Linked DNA regions of Callithrix jacchus. The protein of the gene in region 3 interacts with the protein of the main gene of each other region in a pairwise test. Links are inferred from orthologs where the notes say so. Each region holds a gene or a part of one and is shown on either strand. Other genes may lie near its edges.

Region 1 (5,662 bases), on a different chromosome or scaffold from region 3:
ATACAGATTACAGATAAATGATATTTAAGTATAAGTAAATAAGTTACAACTAAACATTTTTAAATTTTCATCAAGGAAATTTTCATAAACAGATAAAATAGAGGCATTTCAACTAATTAACTACCATCTTCTCAATAGCTTTTGAGATTTTGACACACTGGTTTCAAAAGGTGTCTTATGATCCTTTCTTCCATTGAATATTATAAACCAAATACCAGATGTCATAGTTTCCACTGAAGACATGTTGTTAAAAGCTAAATCACAAAATAATGATGAATAATATTATATGCTAAGTAATTATTATCTGGGAGAAAATTAGGGAATATTATCAAATCTATTTTCTCTGAATTATCTAATAATCTTAGGGAAAATATTTTGGTCTCAAATATTTTGACAACTTTTGTTCAGATTCATATATTTAGTCTATAATGAAAGCTTACTAAAATAATCATAAAAAATTATAGTTGAAAACTCTTCTTTTGTTTCTAATTCTGAATCCTAGAGTTTTAATAAGTATATCTATTATTTTATAATTGCTATATGCTGTCTAAATATACACAGCAAAAACACAAGACCTTGATTCATACACAGACACATACACATATATAGTAGAACTTACTAAATGTTAATGTTTTTGAGCCAAATATCATGCTTCCATATATCTCTCATAGTACCAGGTATACTGGTAAGCTAATCAGATAATATAAATTGAATGCTGAATAACATATGTATATGTATGTAGCTGCTATATATACGTGTATATATATACACACACACACTTGGGTGCATTACATTAAGACATCTTGCTTAATGGCTTTTACTCATATTTTAACATCAGAATTATTTGGGGTACTTCTAGAGCTATGGATACTGATCAGTTGACACTTGTAGTATTCTGTTCTTTCAATAAAGAATTATTTTCTCTTAATTCTTTTTCAAAGCTTTTTAAAATTTTTATAAATGAACACTGTATTTTTCACTAAATAGCCAGTAACAGTAAAATAACATAATACAGATTCATTTTGTTATTTTTGGAATAAAATATAAATGTATCTAGATAGTTTCCAATACTATATTAAACTTGACAGGTTTTTCCTAAATTTGTTTCCTTAAAATGCAATAGTTAAACATTAAAATTACATGTACAATATATAAAAATTAAGTACAAGAATGATGGTGAATATGTTTCTCCAAAGGCTTTTATTGGAGGATAATGAATTCTTCCCTAAATACATTTAAAATATATTTTTCATTTTTGTATTTTTAGTAGAGACAGGGTTTTGCCATTTTGCCAGGGCTGGTATCAAACTCCCGACCTCAAGTGATCGGCCTGTCTAAGCAACCAAAGTGCTGGGATGTTAGGCGTGAGTCACTGTGCCTGGCTCCTAAATGCATTATTTTTTTAATATAAGAGCAGATCAACAGTAGTTGAAATATTTTTTAAATGGTGTAGATACATATAGAGCCTAGCAATTTAAGATATGAAACTAGGGTTGGAGCACTTGAAAGAGTTTGGATGTTAATAACAATTAATCAGAAATAAATCATTAACTTTGTGGGTAATCAACTTAGCTTTCCATAAGTCATCAGCTTTTTCAAAATATTACATTTCTTTCATTGGTTGGCTACTTTATGTGTCTTAAATCAACATGCAACCAGAGATTAGGTTAATGGTTCTATTTATTTTGTGCAGTAACTCTGCATACTCACCTATGATTGATAACTAAGTATAAATACGTATCTCAATTCATGCAGTATCCAGATTTGCTCTTCCATTTTCTCATCTGAATCTGAGGTGAACAGTGAACGTATTTACATTTGATTTAGCAGTGAACCTCCATTCTTTCTGGATCCACAGTGAAACAAGTTTATGCGATTGATCAAATATTTCGATCCCTGAAGCTAATCATAATCGTCAAAATGTTTTGTGGAGACTATGTGAGTATAATGGTTATTTCTGTAAAGCTTTTCAGTCTTTTAAGAATTCAGTAGTAAAATTTTATATGTGTTTCTTGACTTTTTAAAGGAAAATATTGTTTTAATTTGTTTTTCATAAATTTTTAATTAGTGGGTCTTCAATAAAGCTATTATACAAAGTTAATATTATTAACTCCTAAATCCATGCTAATTTTGAAACAATGTATTATCCCACAGAGGCCAGTCAGTTGTCCCTACTTTCACAAGTAATTTGATTCCAAATTTTAACTGAAGCTATCATGATTTTTTAACCTCAATATTGATTTCTATCTATAAAACATTAAAATAATTTTAACTATTAATTTTATTTTAAATCCATGCTTTCTTTAGAAGACAGCTTGTTTTTGAATAATTTTATGTTGAATTGAAGCAATGTATAACAAGACTTAGTCTTTTATTTTTTGTTTTGTCCTTGTCTGAATCATTTCATTGCAACTGCTCTGATAGTTCACTAACTTTTAAAGAGCCAACATAAACATTAAGTTATCTGAATATATATTATATGTAAAGGTCTCCATTTCACACGGTCTTGAAATTTTATACAAGAATGTATCTATTCCTTATGGTCTTGGAAATTATACACAAGTACATGTGTGTTGATGATTCTTTAAAAATCTATCCTATAAAAAAAGCTTTCTGGGAACTTTTATGCAAAAACAATCATAACATAATTATTAGGTTAAACTTTGGCAAACAAACAATATTGTTTACTCATACAAAGTCATCATTGCAAGAAAATTCTACTTAAATATTTTGTTTCTTCACATAAATACTGAAATAGGAATTATAGTGTGGCTATTTTTCCATCGCTGTTAGTTTAAGATTTCAAGTTCTCATTTTGCAGTTGAAAGTTGCCATTATCATTGTATTCATTGAGAGGTAGTTATATTTCACTATAAAGAAATAAAAGTTACCAAGTAATTAGGCCAGCATGGTAAATGGTTAAATACGAAAATGCCTTTTGTTTTCTCTTTCAGTTCATTTGAGTATAATTACTTGGAAATGATTACTATTATATTCAGTGCATTGTGTGGTCTAATTTTACTATTTATATGTCAGTTTTCCAAAAGAAACATTAATAAAGCAAGATTTTATTAAGAGACAATTGCAAGCCTGAGTTTTGATATATTAGTAAGATATAAATCATATTGTAGGAAGATATTATTATATTATAGTAGTTCTCTTAGTATGGAGGAAATTGTACTATACAGGTACTTGCCCAAGCCAGGATTTAAACCCAGGTATCTCTATGTCCGTAGAACGCAAATTCTTTTTATTAATCTATAATGTCTCTTTAGAGTACATCTTCCTTTTAGAATAGAATTTTCTTGTAAAAATGGTTCCTGATTTTGTCCTGTTTTGTCATCAACTGATCCCTCTTTTTCATACAGTTGCATTTTATTTACTGTAGATTCATTTCTTAGAAGATATCCTTCCTTTTGACCTCTCATAGGATTAGAGTTAACTTTAACCCTGTTTGCTTTTCTATTCTTTTGACACCTTTTCCTATTTCTACCATATTCACTGACAGAAAATGTTGATCATAGCAGTATAAAAAGCAAGATACATATTGATATATTTCTTACCTAAAATAGCATTATGTATTACACAAACATAGAGAAATTTTATAATAATTGCCTGAATGTCTATATACATCATCCATACCTCATTTAATCTTCACAGCAAATTGTCTTATAAAAATGCCATTTAATATGCAAAGGTTGAAGTTCTTTTGGAGGCACTCTTCTACCCAGTTGTTTTATATATATTATTTTTGTGTTTGCCACCCCTTTTTCCAGATGAAAATACTGGTTCAGAGAAATTAAAGACTTTTTCCAGGAGTAAAAAACTCAGGAGGTGAGGGAAACATAGGATCCTTTGTAACTCCAAAATCATTTCTACCACAACAAGATAAAAATGCCTAGGTATGATTATTCTTTGTGACCCTAATTAAACGAGAAAATCATAGCAGCAGTCTCTTTACAAAGATGCTTTGACTCATGCATTTTCCCAGAATAGCTCAAGAGCGCCAAAGTCAGACAACAGCAAGTTACACAATGTCTACCATGGACAATGAGACATACAGCATTTTAGCCTAACTAACATAAAATAAACGCATTGGTTTCTAGCAGCAGATTACATGTAGTGAAGGAAAGGCACTCCATAAATTGAAAAAGAATCCAGGCTATATTGCATGAGAGTGATTGCAGACTGAGAACCCATCTCATGGGCAGAGAGGCAGTTGATAAGGTAAGAATTATTTTCAAAACTGACTTTCCCTGTAGAAAGTAATTCCCAGGACAAAAACTTCCATCCAAGAAATCTGACTTTGATTGTTTATCTGCAATATGACTTACTGAGCAAATATTATTTAAAGGTTATTCATACTTTAGATTGCTTTTCACTATCACAAGACTACATTATCTGAACTTTACACACTTTGATTCAACAAAAGTTATGAATCATGCTGGTTATGGCTTCAACTTTTACTGAAGCTTCTGTAGAACTAATAAGAATTGGATTGGAAAAATTAAATGTAATAGCTTTTTCCTTGAAGAGGTATGCATACATGTTGTTAATTTTTAAAAAATACTATTATAACAATAATAGACTGCTTTTAATCTAGGGGCTGGGCAAATATGACTGTGGGATAGTGACTAAACACACACTGAAAGCTAGCCTTTCTGCATAGGATCCACGTGACTGAGCACAGGTTGCTGAATCTTTCTGCATCTCAATTTTTCTGCCTGTTAAGTGAGTGTGATACCAGCAGCTATCTTGTAAGGGTATCTTGAGAATTGTTTGGCAGGAAAAGCACGAAGAAGAGTATCTAGAGCATAGAAGTATCCCAAAAAAGATGAGCTGTTATTCACAGTATTATTTAGTACCAGTGCCAAAACTTGAATCCAACTCTCTGATTCAAAAGCCCTGGCCTTCAGCAGCCCAATGCACTGCTTCTAGAGCAGAGGTTAAGTGTGTATTCATTACTAATACAAGTGTGTGTGTGTGTGTGTGTGTAACACATATATAAGCATATATGTATACATGTGTACATACAACAGTCCCAAATTTTATGAAGAAATTTGAGAAACATCAAAAGTTTCACACAGGGAAATATATTTTCTCTTAAACTCAGCATAATGTTTATTTGTAAGTAGACTCTATCATGCAAAAAAAAAAAATTCATAAACCCACTTACTTCAATTTCTGCTAACTTCTCTTCTTTGTTATGGCAAAACTCCTCAAACACGTATTACACCCACTACATACATTTCTTCTCCTTCAGTCACCTCTGTATCCACTCATTGAGTTTCTTTCTCAAATGCCCTACCTGAACTGTTCTTATTAAGGTAAACAGTGACCTTCATATGGTTAAATCTCGTGCCCAATTCTCTCCTGTAATTTTGCTAGATATATGGGTGTTATTAGAAACAATTGCCTTTGAGAGAAATATTCCAGGGCTAAATTCTGAAACTCTTTTCCTTCCTACTTATAGCCTCTTCTTTGTACATAGCATCGAGTATAATGGTTTTAATTTCATTCTACATACAGATTCTTTTCTGAATTTATTTCTCAACCTGGAAGCTATGCCTAAATTCCAGATTCCTATAACCAAGTGTCTACTCAGGGAGTAGAAACTCATCCTCTTATTAGCACAGAAAAAGAAAAGTAAAAAAAAAAAAAT
Region 2 (4,399 bases), on a different chromosome or scaffold from region 3:
GTCAGTTGCCTTAAAAAAAACCTGGGACAAAAATCAAGTAGTGAAATTTAGGTTTTATGGTAGATAGTTTTAGTATATAAATTGAGGATACTAGTTTAAAGTCCTGAAAGGGTGGGGGTGGGGGGAAGCATCTATTCTAACAATAGCACATGTGGAATTATCGTAGGTTTCTATATAGAAATAGTTTATCGATTAACTTCAATTTTTAAAACATGAAAGGACCACTGTTGTCAAGAGCATATTGGTACATTTGAGTGCCAAGAAGCCAGCAAGACACTACTGCAAATATGGAGTGAAAGAATAATGAGTCCGAAGGGTCCCTTGAGATGTCATCAGCTCCTCTTCTTCTCAAAGTAGTCACTGAAAGGTAAATGGTGCAGGTCCTTCTTGAGAGGCCTCCATTGTCTCCGAGAACACCAGGGAAATGGATTGATGATACATAGCACCCAACACTGAACAACAGATAGACTGAGATAGACTTCTACACTGAATTCCCAGAAGTACATGGCTATGGGTTTTAATCAAATGTACAGTATATGACAAGAGTTCCATTGAAGAAAAATAAAAATAGAACTAGAAAAATGCAGTGGGGGAAATGTTGTAGTTTCTGAATATGTAAACCTCTAGGGTGGGGTGGGTGGGATGTGTGTATAAAACAAACCAAAAAAAAAAAAAAATCTCAAAATCTTCAGCATTCACATTCCTAAATATTTTAGACATAATAAATTTTGGCCATACTATAATTATATACACATGCATATATTCCTAAGCTAAGAAGATGACTTTAGTTAAAAAAAGGGTATTAAAAATATAAATACTGCATATGTTCCCATTTGTTTCCCAAGTATGTGTGTGTGTCGAGGGGAGGTTTTTTCTTTCCATAGCTTTACTAAGTTCAAAAGATAAACATATTTACTCTAGAAAGGTTTAAGAACTATTTTGATGAGGTGAGTTGCCAGAAAACTTAATTATATAAGTAATAAACATGTCAAAAAGATTTCAGAAATGTTTAATAGAATCACAACTTATTTCTGTGATATAATTTCATTTTATATTGTCATGTATAACCATCAAAATTCACTTTCCATTCATATAGTCATGAATCAAATTATGTTTGATGAGAAACTATCAGAAGATTTTTGGTATTAATAAATCATACATATAATAAAAATACTCAACATGTTTCAAAATGGCATTTTAAATAGTACTAGTACATCAGCAATATAATATGGTGTCCTGAAAATCTAACATGACAAAATAAGATTCATTGTGGTTTACGGATTCCCATTCAATATAAACCTTGTTTCTTTTTTGTTTTTAATGAAATTATATCTACTAAAGTAAATGTGGCAAAATTAGAGAAGTAAATCAAAAAGAATTGACCAAAACTGGCATGGTTATTCCTCCTCTAAGCCAAACGTATCCTTCAAAAAGGTTAAGTAGTCAATGTTTTTTGCAGGAATAGGTGATGACATCCCAAGCCAAACATCCTCACATCTCTAGAAAAAAAAACAAAAATGGATACGATTAGAGCCACATTTCCAAGTACAGTTTTGCAAATTCAACACCAAACAGTTTATATTCAAAGTGAAAATTTGTACCATCTACTTTAGGTTCATAAGGACTTTGTGGTAGACTGGATACTTGTTCTTGATTCTTCATTGCCTGCCTGTATAAGAATTATGCACCCACACTCTTTGTCATGTGACTCTAGGACCTCCCGTGGAGTAAGAAGAGTGTATTTTCCTGTTCCTTTGATATGGGGTGGGCCACATGACTAGCTTTGACCTATGTACTGTAAGCAGACATATCATGAACAGAGGCTCCAGCGTGCTGGCATCATTTGGCTTGGCCTTCCGTGCCTCTGCCATCACCATAAGAAGAACATGGCCTGGGACGCTGCTGTTCTTAGAATGACCAAGGTAGATCAGACCAGGCTGGACTTGTAGACTAAGAGCCAAGCTCAGCTGAATCCACCCATGCTTGACTGACCTACATGCCCACAGACAAGAAAAGAAATGTGTCTTGTGAACCACTGAAATTTAAGGAGTTGTTATTCGGCATTGTTACAGTGATAGCTCCTCCCATACTTTCTTTTTTTTCTTTTTTTCTTTTTTTTTTTTTTTTAGACAGAGTCTCACTCTGTCACCAGGCACCAGGCTGGAGTGCAGTGGTGCAACCTTGGCTCACTGCAACCTCCGCCTCCTGGGTTCAAGTGATTCTCGTGCCTCAGCCTCCCGAGTAGCTGGAATTACAGTCACACGGCACCATGCCTGGCTAAGTTTTGTATTTTTAGGAGAGATGGGTTTCCCCATACAGGCCAGACTGGTCTGGTCTTGAACTCCTGGCTTCCAGTTATCCATCCACCTCAGTCTCCCAAAGTGCTGGGATTACAGGCATGAACTGCCATCTAAAGAACCCAATTTTTAAAATACAAACTATTAGCTATATGTTGCTTGGTTACTGTTTCTTCAGGAAACATTGAAAAGAACGCTGGATCACTCACAGTATGATCCTGAAGATAAGCCACTTTATGTGTGCATACACATGCACACACAGATGCACATTTTCTATAATATGTAATACATATGTGTGTATATATACACACAAACTCTTTGCGTATGCTGCAATAGTTAATTAATATCAACAGGAGGCAAAGTCCGTACATACAGTTGCTTATATTTCTACTGTCAAGATTGAAATATGACTGTCAAGATTAATTGTTGTATATATGTATATTAATATTAGTATCCAGAATCACAAGGTGTCAGACACATAGGTAAAGGCTCAATTATTTGATGTGATAGAATTTTGGAAGCCAGCTGATTAAGTGGTGTTTCAGTTGGACCTTATGGGACACAAAGCAGTTCAGCAGAGGGTTAAGGGTAGTGAAGGATGTTCCAGGCATAGGGAAAAGCATAAGCAAAGGCCTAGAGATCTAAAAACTATTTTAAAGAAAGGGTGAGTAGAGCAGTGTGGTTTGTGGCACATGGTACAAAGTGGCAAGAGAGATGGTTAGAAGGAGAAGCTGGGGCCGAACTTCTGACCTTCTGTGCTAGTTTATACTTGAGGCTGTGGTTAGGGGAAGTCACTGATAGGTCTTGGCCAGGGAAATGACAGCAATCTGATTAGAAACCGATGAGCTAACTTGCTGGATGTACAGAGAATGAAATGCAGTAAGAAAATCAATCTGGAGGTGAGTGTAATAATACCACGAAAAGATGACGGTGCCATAACCAGGGCAGCTGAAGCAGGCATGGAGAACAGGAGCTACCTCTGAGAGAAGCTGCTGCAGGAGAACGTGAAATAGCTAGAAGGGGATCAGTTTGAAATGGTGACAAAAGAAAGGTGTAGTGCTATAGGTTGAATTGTGTCCCCGCCCCAAAAGAGGTATGTGAAGTCCTCACCCCTTGTGCCTCAGCATGTGACCTTGTTTGGAAATAGGGTTTTAGCAGATGTAATTAGGTAAATTAAGATGAGGAAGATGAGGTCATTCTGGAGTAGGGTGAGCCTCTAATCCAATATGACTGGCCTCCCTATAAAAAGTCAGGTGAAGACAGAGACACACCGGGGGAACACCAGGTGACCAAAGAGGCAGAGATTAGAGTTCTGCAGCTGCAAACCAAGGAACACCAAAGACTGCCAGCAAAGCATCGGAGTCTAGGAAGAGGCAGGGAAGGATTCCCACACAGGTTTGAGAGGCAGCATGGCCCTGCTGACACCTAGATTTTGGACTGCTAGCCTCCAGAACTGCAGAAGAATAAATTTCTACTGTTTTAAGCAACTCAGTTTGTGGTATTTCATGTGGGCATCGCTAGGAAACGAGTATAGGTAAGGATGGTTCTAAGAATTCTAAATTTAGTAACAGTTGACAGTGTCTGTTATTAGTTTTCTGGGGCTGCCATAACAAAGTACCACGAAGTAAGTGGCTTAAAGCAACAGAAACTTATTCTTTCACAGTTCAAGAGGCCAGGGGTCCAAAATCAAGGTGTTGGCAGCCTTGGCTCTTTCTGGAGGCTCTAAGTGGGAATTTATTGCATGCCTCTTTCTTAGCTTCTAGTGATTGCTGGCAGTTGTTTGTTGGCTTGTAGGCACACCACTCCAGCTTCTGCCTCCACCTTCACATGGTGCTCTCTGTATATCTCTATGTCTTCACGGGGCTTTCTTATAAAGTCGCCAGTCACAGCATTTAGGGTCCACTCTGATCCAGTATAACTTCATCTTAATTAATTATATCTGCAAAGACTATTTAGAAATAAAGTTACATTCTGAGGTTTGAGGTAGACATGACTTTTGGAGGGGACAATATTCAACCTAGTATAATATCATAAGGAAAGCAGAAAGAGTTTAAAAACATTTTTTAGTAGGAAAACAAGGCTCAGAGGGAAATTCTAACTTC
Region 3 (5,625 bases):
TTATCTAGACAAAGACCTTACACCCTTCATAGAAATTAACTCACAATGGATTGTAGACCTAAATGTAAAACGCAACACTATAAAACTCTTGGAAGATAACATAGGAGAAAACTTACCTAACTGATCTTGGACATGGCAATAACTTTTTAGAGCAATACCAACAGCATAATCTGTGAAAAATATAATTGATAAGCTGGACTTCATTAAAATTTAAAACTTCTGCTCTCCAAAAGAAGAATGAAAAGACAAGCCACAGACTAGGAGAAAATATTATAAAAAATACATCTGATAAAGGAGTGTTAGCCACAACATACCCGGAACTCTTAAATCTCAGCAAGAAAATAACACAATGTAAAAATGGGCAAGATACCTGAACAAACACTTCATCAAAGAAGGTAAACACATGGCAAGTAAGTACATGAAAAGATGGTCAACATCATATGTCATTAGGGAATTGCAGATTAAAACAATAAGATACTACTTAAACTCCCAACCTCAAGTGATCTGCCTGCCTTGGCCTCCAAAGTGCTTGGATTACAGGCGTGAGCCACACGCCTGGCCCAAAACAATAAGATACTACTACACAGGGAAAATCCAAAATACTGACACCACAAAAATGCTGACAAGGATGTGGAGCAACAGAAACCATCATTCAATGCTGATGGGAATGCAATATGCTCCCGTGACTTTGAAAGACAGTTTGGTAGTTTCTTTTCTCACAAAACTAAATATACCATCCAATCCAGCAGTTGTACTCCTTGGCATTTACCCAGATAAATTGAAAACTCAGGTCTACACAAAAATCTGCACATGCTGTATAGTGGCTTGATTCATAATTGCCCAAACTTGGAAGCCGTCAAGATGTCTTTTCTTGGCTGAACAGATAAACTCTGGCATCTCCAGACAATGGAATATTATTCAACACAAAAAATAACCTTAAAAGCATGTTACTAAGTGAAAGAAGCTGACGTGAAAAGGCTGCATACTGTATGATTCCAAGTATATGGGATTCTGAAAAAGGCAAAAACTATGGAGACAGTAAAAGGAGCAGTGGCTGCCACTGGTTAGGGGACTGAGAAGGATGAATAGGTAGAGGACAGAGGACTTTCAGGTCAGTGAAACTATTGTGTATGACACCATAATGGTGGATACATGTCATTACACATTTGTCAAAACCCACAGAATGTGCAACACTGAGGGTAAACTCTAATGTAAACTGTGGACTCTGGGTGATAATGATGTGTCAATGTAGGGTCATCAATTGTTACCAAATGTACTACTGTAGCGCAAGATGTCCATAAGGGGACAGGTTGTGCATGTATGTGCCTGTGTGTACAGGGGATATATGAGAACTCTGTACTTTCTGTTCAATTTTGCCCTGAACCAAAAACTGCTCTAGTTTCATTAATAACAGTAATTTTAAAAAGCCAGGGCCCCTTCTGACCTAGGGAATCTCTGGTGATGGAGGGGGAGGGGTGTAGTCCCCTAGAAAGTTGAAATTTTTCAAAGTTACTCAACTGATTTTGTAGAGCTAGGTTTGGAACTGCTACCCTTTTCTATGCTGCCCGACCAAGTAGTGGTTCCTGAACCAGGTGTCAGGCTTCAAAGTTGTGCAAAATTTCTCATTACACTGTCTGGGCCCTAAATGTATGCTTTCCCCTCACCCCATAAATCAAGACTCTAAAACGCCAAGGATAGGAGAGCAGCACTTTCCCGTGTACTGAGTATGCAGGCAAGGGAGAGCAGTCAAGCACAGACTGGCTGATACCTAACCCCCAAATGGGCTGAAGCAGATACACTTTGAAGATCGACCACGGCGGAAATCTTTTTTTTTAATCCGTCAGGGGTGTCCCACTTATTGGGTCCCACAGCTGCGGTTTAGCAAGGAGTGGGTCTCACGTCACCAGGCCTCCCTCAAAGTCCTCCGCTCTAGCTTTGCGATTGGCGTTGGGGGAACAGGAGGGGAGGTGGGTGCTTTCATCGAGACTGCTGGGGGGGCCCGGACATCGAGGCCGGGGAGTCGTGGGTAGAGCCCCGATTCCAGCCAAGACGCCATAGGACATAAGTGAGCGTGGAGCGCAAAACGGCTACCCAAGCACAATTCTGGAAGACCGAAGGGCCGTTCTTCCACCTCTTAAATTTCCCGGGAGCCACGCCCCTCAACGGCCCGCTTTGGATTCCAAGGAGTCGCGCCGGAAGTGACCTCACGGAGGTGGCGAGGAGACGTGGGGGAGCTTCCGGCGGCGGCGTCGGTGGTTACCGCCGAACAGTGAGGGTAGACGTGGTGAGAGCCCCTCTTTGGGTCCCCTGGTGTTCTGTGGTCGACTTGGTGGTGGTGTGCGGAGGAGCTCGAGGCCCGTCGGCTCGGAGGTGGGAACCACGGGAGGCAGCTGGTTTGTGGACGCTCGTGGGAGGGGGCTTCCGGGGTTGCCAGCCGGAGTTGCTTTAGACTTCGGAGTTCCAGGCCTTGTAGACCTTTATTGAGGCGGGCACGAGATGGTGGCTTCATCGGGTACGCTGGGGTCTAGGTACTACGGGTGGCCGCAGGAGTTTGGTTTGAGGTGGGAGGCTGAGGACTGCAGGATTCTAAATAGTAAGGGGATTGTGAGAGGAGTGAGGCATTAGCGGCTTGGGCCCTTAGTCCAGGCTTCTTGGTGGCTGCTGCAGTTCATTGGCTCAGTCACTCATTGCTTGGTGCCTCAGTTTCCCATTGCATAATGAGATACGGTGGCAGAGAAGAACGCTAGTGCCACATCCATGACTGATAGTTTGAGGACGGAGGTGAACTGGAGTGTAGAAAAAGAGGGTGCCCGAGAAATTTATACTTACCAGGGCACATCTGAATCCCAGAAGTTATCCCTGGATTCATTTCTGCCTTTGGTGCCAGTCTGTGGTTCTTACCAGTACTCTTTGTGTGATATTGATTGTATTTATCAATACTTGACTTGTTGAGTGGTTAAAGTGTTTTTGGTTTGTGGGAGGCATAGCCCTTGTAGGCTTGGTCAGTTGATTTTTAATTAATCTTCCAATAGCAGTTGCTTCGGTTAGCTTTGCAATTGGGAGATTAATTGATAATTAACTGACCAAGCCAACAATCTTCTCCTGTGGTTTCAGATGAGGAACTCACGACCCAGAATGGTTTTTCTTCTCTTCCCTAGCCACAGATCAAACTGATTTCAGTCTGCTGTCTTAAATACAGGTCTTTACCCCACCAAAACAGAAATGACTGTCTCCAGGCAGTTTAGTATTTCAACTGGACACGCAGATGGTTCCTAATCTTTTTTTTTTTTAATGAATGACGGATTAGGTGTACTGAGCACAAAATTCTGTTAGTTTATTTCTCTGTATGATGTAAAAATGGTTGTAAAAACATGACTTTTTGTTTACTACGGATTTCTTGGTAGAGCCTCCTTGGCGTAGGGCTGTGGGGCTAGAAAAGTGTCAGAAATTTTTGACCTGTGACCCACAGTTAGATACATTTTTCATCATGACTTATTGTGCCCCTACACAGTGTGTACACACACACATCCTGATTAAAAGTTTACTTACTTTTTCTACAGAAGATACACTCTAAAAAAACTTTGGTTGCAACTCACTAAGTTGAGTCTGACCCTTAATAGGTCATGACGTATAGTTTAAAACATACCAACTCCCAGCACTTTGGGAGGCTGAGGCGGTTGGATCACCTGAGGTCAGGAGTTCGAGACCAGCTTGGCCAACATGGTGAAACCCCATCTCTACTAAAAATACAGAAATTAGCTGGGTGTGGTGGTGGACGCCTGTAATCCCAGCTACTTGGGAGGCTGAGGCAGGAGAATCACTTGAACCCGGGAGGCTGTGGTTGCAGTGAGCCAAGATTGTGCCGTTGCACTCTATCCTGGGTGACAAGAGTGAAACTCCATCTTGGAAAAAAAGTAGAAAAGAAAAATATTACACTAGGGCCGAGTGCAGTGGTGGGAGGATTGCTTAAGGCCAGCCTGGGCAACACAGTGAAACCCTGTCTCTAAGAAAAACAACATTGGAAAGTGTTTAAAATCATTGCCATTCGTGAGATTCTGTAATTAATGCAATATGGAAGAAGTGTCATTTTTCTTTTCTTATCCAGAGAAGGGCTTACTAGAGTTCTCCTAAATTCAGCAGAACAACAGGACAGGACATCCAAATTCTATCTCAAAGAAGCGTAGTGACCATAATAGTCACTGCGCTCCTGATAGTGTGTCAGAATTTTTAGCAAGGCATTTATTAAGTCTTATGATAATCGAGTGGGCGAGATGGAGGAATTTGCCAAATTGTGGTAGGACTAGATGGAGTCATGAGTTTTAGCATCTATATCTAGAGAGGTTTGATGTGTGGACATTACTTACGGCTGGAATTCTGGTGATCTAAACTGGAGTTTCATCACTTTCTTTATACACTTTATGTATTTGAAACCTTAGCTAGAAAGTTTGCTTATTGGATTTGGTGCCTTTATGAAGTAAAGCAAGGATCATTTGGTTGATGATTGCCAGAATGCTAAAACTTCTCACTATATTTGCTCAGTGTTTAATGAAATGGAAGAAGCATGTATAAATGTGAGAAATTGCACTTGGGTCCAAAAAAGTCAACTATAACCTATTGGGGGAGGGTGGAGATGTGACCTCACAGGAGTTCTTGTAATAAAAAGATTTGATATCTCAATCACCAGTCAGTGGTGTGGCCAAGAAAGCTGTGAGAAGTACTGATGTGACCTGCGTTAGTATATTGTATTAGGAGAATGCAAAATCTAGAATTAGAAAGGTTGCATCACTGGTAGGCTTGTACCTGAATATTAGGTCTGCATCTAGGTGTGCTAAGAGTAAATTTATGGGCAGAAATCAAGTCTGAAGATATGATGGTATTGCTTTGGCATGAATGGTTATTTTTCTCATTGTCATTTCAGGCTTACAGGTATACGCTGGGTCATTGGTCTTAAAACATTTCTGTTAGAGAGTTTCTGGAAGACTGGGGAGTCTGTTAGATCTTATATCCTTTTCAGTTGGCACCTGAAACTTTGCATCATAGATTTAAATAGTGTAAGTATTTTATTTATTTGTTTATTTATTGAGATGGAGTTTCGCTTTTCTTGCCCAGGCTGGAGTGCAGTGGCTTAATCTTGGCTCACTGCAACCTGCACCTTCCAGGTTCAAACGATTCTCCTGCCGCAGCCTCCCTAGTAGTTGGGATTACAGGTGCCCACCACCACGCCTGGCTAACTTTTTTTGCATTGTTAATAGAGATGGGTTTCACCATGTTGGCAGGCTGGTCTTGAACTTTTGACCTCAGGTGATCCACCCACCTCAGCCTCCCAGAGTGCTGGGATTATAGGCGTGAGCCACTGCACCCAGCCAGTATTTTATTTTAAATAGTTTAGGATGTAATTTCTAACAAGTAAATATTGACTTCTTAAATATAAAATTATCTAGGCCAGGCGCATTGGCTCATGCCTGTAATTCCAACACTTTGGGAGACTGAAGCGGGCCTATCACCTGAGGTGGGGAGTTAAGACCAGCTTGGCCTGAACATGGAAAAACCCTGTCTCTACTTAAAAAAAAAAAATAGCCGGCTGTGGCAGCGCATGCCTGTAATCCCAGCTACTGGGGAGGTGAG
Region 4 (5,003 bases), on a different chromosome or scaffold from region 3:
AGTGGTTGTGTCTGTATTTGGTCATGCTGTGGGGTCAACCTGAGTTTCTGGAGAAGATCAACGCTTGGGAGGGATGTGCCAGCTGTGTTTGTCACATTCAATGGGGCCCTGAAGGGGCTCTGGTTGGCAATCAGACTGGCATGGCTTAGCTCAGGGACTGGCTGGTTCAGGAGTGGAGACCTCTGTCTAGGCGTGGTCTTCACTGCCTGCATCATGGTGCTGTTTCGAGGTAAGCTGGGGGGAACCTGTGTAGTAGGAGCTTCAGCTGGCAGAGTGGGACTGAGAACCGGGCTCAAAGGGATTGTGTAGCTTGGGGCATGCTTTTCATTGGACAGTGTGATGGAGGCTGGAGTGATTAGCACTGGGGTGGTGATTTCAGGCTGGACTGAGTGGTGGGCAGAAGGGACACCCAGGGTTTCTGATTGAGGGGTTCCTCCTGACTGCTCAAAGGGAAACGGTAGAAAGGAACTGGGATCTTTCTGGGAGGAATCTCCTGGCAACCTCTCCACTTCTTCTGAATCCAGACCCACAATTGCTGGCTGTTCCTTTGGCAAAGAGGTTCCAAATAACTCTTCTACTGTCAGATGCTTGTGTCCAGATAGAGCAGACTGAAAAACAAATCAAACCACCCAGTGAAAAGAGGTCTCTCCATATATCAGCATAACCAAACTTCTTTTCCAGAAACCAAAAGATTTTGCAGAATCAAGGATGGAGTATAAAAATAAGGAATGGTAAAAAAAAAAAAATGAAGATGTACTTAGGATTAAGGCCCAGGTTCATCTAGTGTTCCCAGAGTGGCGGATGGAAATTTGCATCAGTAATATAATTCAAATTTTTAAGGTCTCTGGGTAGCAGCATCATAATTCACCATTCCTTTTCTTGGCAAAGCTAATTGTGCCCAATTGCTTCATGTCAGCAACACACGAAGGGAAATGACACTAGAGGAGACACAGGGACCAAATGCTGATGAGGCGAGTCTATGTTTACTTTCACTGTTCTTGATGAAAAGCTAGGCACTGGACCTCAGAGACTGGGTCCCAAATATCAGAAAATAAATCTAACCATTTAATAGTGGGCCATTTCCCCCTCCTTATTCCCTAGTCACAGAATTCTTAAGAAAAAGCAAAGCATTTAAGCCTGACAATTTAAAGTTTATATTTATTTTAGTAAGTTGGTTTACTGACACCATTAAAACCATTCAAAGAAAAAATATTCATGCTTTCCTGTACCTTTAAGCAGTACTGCCATAGTCAGTAACCTTTATTTCCTGAGAACTAATGGGGTGTCAGGTCCTGCTCTAACCCAGGCCCACAGGATGCAGCAAGGGAGTAACAACAGTTCTCACAAAGCTTACATTTTAGTGGGAGACATACCAAAGCACTTTGAAAACACAGGCGGCCTCAAATTTTTATTCCTAAAATGAGTGAATTATTTAGTTGTTTAGATCTGTTTATAGTGGAAAAATTAACTCACTGAAACACAGGATTTTCAAGGCCTCAGAAAGTCTGGAAGGCCGCAAATTCCACCACAAATTAGTATAATATTGATAGGACTATGGTATAATCACATTTACAGGAAAACAAACCCAGTGTTGTCTAGGCAAATGTTTGTCTCATCCATTTGATAAAAATTCTTGAATTTATCAGGTGCCAGGCATTGTGCTATGACTGTGATGTGAAAAAAGAAGCCAGGATAACTGGTGATAAGACCCCCGCAGGGCAGAGCTGCAGGGCCCAGCAGGACCGAAGGCGCTGGGAAAAAGGCTGAGCGGGGAGGGATAAGGCCAGCTGGCTGGGAACACAGTCACTGAGACAGCTACACGTCCTTCAGCACAGCTGGGTCAGAGGCTGGGTAGGAGGGTGACAGGGAAAGAGAGAAGCAGTGGGCAGACTGCAGAGTGTCCAAGACACTTTAGAGGATCTGGACTTTATCCATAGGGCAATGGGGACATGATCAGAGAATGAGCCATCAAGCTTTACATTTTAGGATGTGCACCTGGTCGGCCACATAAAGGACAAATTGGAGGGGCGAGACTGAGGAGAGTCTAAGATACTGGCAGAGAAGAGGATGAGAACTAGAGTTGGAATAAAAGGAGTTGGTGGCTGGCCAGGTAAGAGCATGGAGCTGAGAGGACACCTTGCTATCTGGGTATTGGGTGGTGGTGCCACTGCGTGGGCAGGCAGCCCTGGAAAAGCCCCTAGGTTGAGGGAGAAGGGGACGCTCAAGTTAGTTGTGAACATGTCTGGAGGTCTCTGTGGGACATCTAGAACATGGAGGTACTGACTCAGAACACAAAATGGTAATGTTATTTTGTGTTCTTAAAACACAAAAATGGTAATACAAGTCAAGGGAGCAAAGGCATCCCCCTAGGACGCTACAGTGACAGAGCTGAGATGTCCTATTAAATGCCCAGATTCAGGGCCTAGAGCCCACTGCTGCTGCCTGGCTCTGCTCCTTTCCAGCTGTGTGGACTGAGGAGTGCTGTCCACTCTGAGTCTCAGGCCTCTATAAAGTAGGGAGGGCTAGTGGGAGGCTGAAATGTATGGGAGCCAGCACATAGGAAGTGCGTGTTTAATGTCAGCACTCCTAACAACAACATGGAAAGCAAGTTTGCCAAGGCAGGGGCTCTCTTTCTCATGTATTCCCCAATCCTTATCTTTCTTGCTCCTGGACTTGCCTACCTGAGCAATGGCACCGCCACCCAGGACCACAGATCTAATCAGTACATAGCAGACACTCCACAGTGCTCTCTTCCAAAGTTCTTTCGGGGAGTAGGGGGAGATTAGCATAAGGAGAGATGGAGCTTAAGGGGCAGGTGCAAGAGATCTTGTGTCAGGAGGAGATCATGTCAGACAACAAGAAAAAAGAGGGCCAGCAGCAATGAGCATACAGGCAAGTCTGCATGTGAAGGACAAAAGTTAAGGGTGCCATTCTGTCTTCTCTCCTTGGTATGAGGACAGCATCACCTGCTAGGTAAGAGGGACAAGGCAGGTCTGAAAAAACTCAGTCAGTAAAAAGTAACTCTTGTGGAGGAAGAGGCAAGAATCTCCCACAGAGGTTGTAAAAAGTTGTAGCTTCATATCAAACCATTTTGCCTTAGAAAATATTAAATAAAGAGATTCCACTAATGTTAGAATCTCACTTCAAATATGAGGCAGTATGAATATCTGTGGATACAAAAAAATGCTAAAGATCTTATATGGTTCAATTTCTTCATATTTTTACTTCTGAAAAAAAACTATAGAGTTTAGGGTCTGAAATCAAAAATACCTCAGCTGTTAATTGGGAAAACTACATAACCTTTCTTTTTCTTTGTTTTTCTGAGACAGGGTCTCACTCTGTCAGTAAGACTGGAGTGTAGTAGTGTGATCAGAGCTCACTGCAGCCTGGAACTCCCGGACTCAAGCAATCCTTTCACGTAGCTGGGACCACAGGTGCATGCCACTGTACTTGGTTTATTTTTAAATTTTTTTGTAGTGAGCCATTGAGTCCAGCATAATCTTTCTAATCTAGTTCCTTATCTGAAAACTGTGGACACTGTGGCAATGATCTTAGAACACTGTTGTGGAAATTAAATTCTCTGTATCATGTCTGGTGCCCAAAAAGCATTCAATAAATTGAAGTTGGCTTAAACTATAATCACATAAACACCATGTGATCTTTTTGTTTGTTTGTTTTTTTTGAGATGGAGTCTTGCCCTATCGCCCAGGCTGAAATGCAGTGGCACGATCTCAGCTCACTGCAACCTCTGCCTCCCAGGTTCAAGTGATTCTCATGCCTTAGCCTCTCAAGTAGCTGGGATTACAGGTGTGCGCCATTATGGTCAGCTAATTTTTATATTTTTAGTAGAGACGGGGTTTCACCATATTGCCCAGGCTGGTCTCAAACTTCTGACCTCAGGTAATCTGCACATTTTGGCCTCCCAACATACTGGTATTACAGGAGTGAGCCACCGCATCTGGCCCACTATGTGGTCTTAATAGCAAGCATGGAGTACCAAACAAAAGTTCATCAAATGCTTCTGGAATATCATATCCCCATAATGCAAGACAACAACAATATACCTGGTAAGATAACCAAGGCTAGGCTACTATAAAGCTCCTAGTCACTCCCGATGCAAAGAATTATGAAGGACACAGCTGTTTGTTTAAAAATCCTTGGCAACATTCAAACCCACGCAATGAAAGTCAAAATAGACAACAAATTCTGTAATACTCAGCACAATGATGTGCTGTACAGGTCCACAGCCTAGGAGCCATGGGCTATGCCATCGAGCCTAGGTGTTAGTAGGCAATGTCATCTAGGTTTGTGAAAGTACAAGTACACCCTGTAATGTTTGGAGAATGAAATTCCGTAACAACACATTTCTCAGAATGTATTCCCATTGTTAAGTAACATACAACTGTACCTAACTGGTTGAATTTGTCATAGGAGCCTGGGTGAGCAGAACATTCCTCGTCACACAAATCCCCAGAAGCTTCACTGTCTCTGCATTCTTTTCTGTTTCTTTCTTTCTTTCTTTTTTTTTTAAAGATGAGGTTTCACCATGTTGGTCAGTCTGGTCTGGAACTCCTGACTTCGGGTGATCCACCTGCCTCGGCCTCCCAAAGTGCTGGGATTACAGGCGTGAGCCACCAAGCCCGGCTTCTTTTCTATTTCTGATAAGAAAAATTGGTTGCCCTTCTCTAGTAGCTGTGTTTATTTATTCATGAACTAACCGTCTAGCATCCACAGAAAAGGTAAAATGTTATTCTCTCCTCATGCTTGAATATGCTTAAAGTCTGGATTCTGAGCCAGATATAGTGGTTCATGCCTGTAATCCCAGCAGTTTGGGAGGCCGAGGTGAGTGGACCACCTGAAGTCAGGAGTTCGAGACCACCATGATCAACATGGAGAAACCCATCTCTACTAAAAATACAAAATTAGCCAGGCAAGCATGCCTGTAATCCTAGCTACTTGGGAGGCTGACATGGGAGAATCGCTTGAACCTGGGAGGTGGTGGT

What was found.
Region 1: the proteins of EDC3 (region 3) and ANXA10 interact in binary tests that used the Homo sapiens proteins (3 or more experiments, as listed by UniProt). The link is inferred for Callithrix jacchus from reciprocal best matches to the Homo sapiens genes EDC3 and ANXA10.
Region 2: the proteins of EDC3 (region 3) and EFHC2 interact in binary tests that used the Homo sapiens proteins (3 or more experiments, as listed by UniProt). The link is inferred for Callithrix jacchus from reciprocal best matches to the Homo sapiens genes EDC3 and EFHC2.
Region 4: the proteins of EDC3 (region 3) and DCP1A interact in binary tests that used the Homo sapiens proteins (3 or more experiments, as listed by UniProt). The two-hybrid records come from large-scale screens. The link is inferred for Callithrix jacchus from reciprocal best matches to the Homo sapiens genes EDC3 and DCP1A.

Annotation. Positions count from the first base shown.
Region 1 is NC_133504.1:23,297,947-23,303,608, reverse strand, and holds the start of ANXA10 (annexin A10), read left to right. Parts: upstream 1-1,760; 5' UTR 1,761-1,920; coding exon 1,921-1,938; intron 1,939-5,662.
Region 2 is NC_133524.1:45,133,010-45,137,408, forward strand, and holds the end of EFHC2 (EF-hand domain-containing family member C2), read right to left. Parts: intron 1,500-4,399; coding exon 1,398-1,499; 3' UTR 984-1,397; downstream 1-983. UniProt on the Homo sapiens protein: Microtubule inner protein (MIP) part of the dynein-decorated doublet microtubules (DMTs) in cilia axoneme, which is required for motile cilia beating.
Region 3 is NC_133509.1:21,560,664-21,566,288, forward strand, and holds the start of EDC3 (enhancer of mRNA-decapping protein 3), read left to right. Parts: upstream 1-2,225; 5' UTR 2,226-2,512; intron 2,513-4,918; exon of another isoform or gene 4,919-5,051; intron 5,052-5,625. UniProt on the Homo sapiens protein: Binds single-stranded RNA. Involved in the process of mRNA degradation and in the positive regulation of mRNA decapping. May play a role in spermiogenesis and oogenesis.
Region 4 is NC_133516.1:35,839,637-35,844,639, forward strand, and holds part of DCP1A (mRNA-decapping enzyme 1A), read right to left. Parts: intron 609-5,003; coding exon 1-608. UniProt on the Homo sapiens protein: Necessary for the degradation of mRNAs, both in normal mRNA turnover and in nonsense-mediated mRNA decay. Removes the 7-methyl guanine cap structure from mRNA molecules, yielding a 5'-phosphorylated mRNA fragment and 7m-GDP.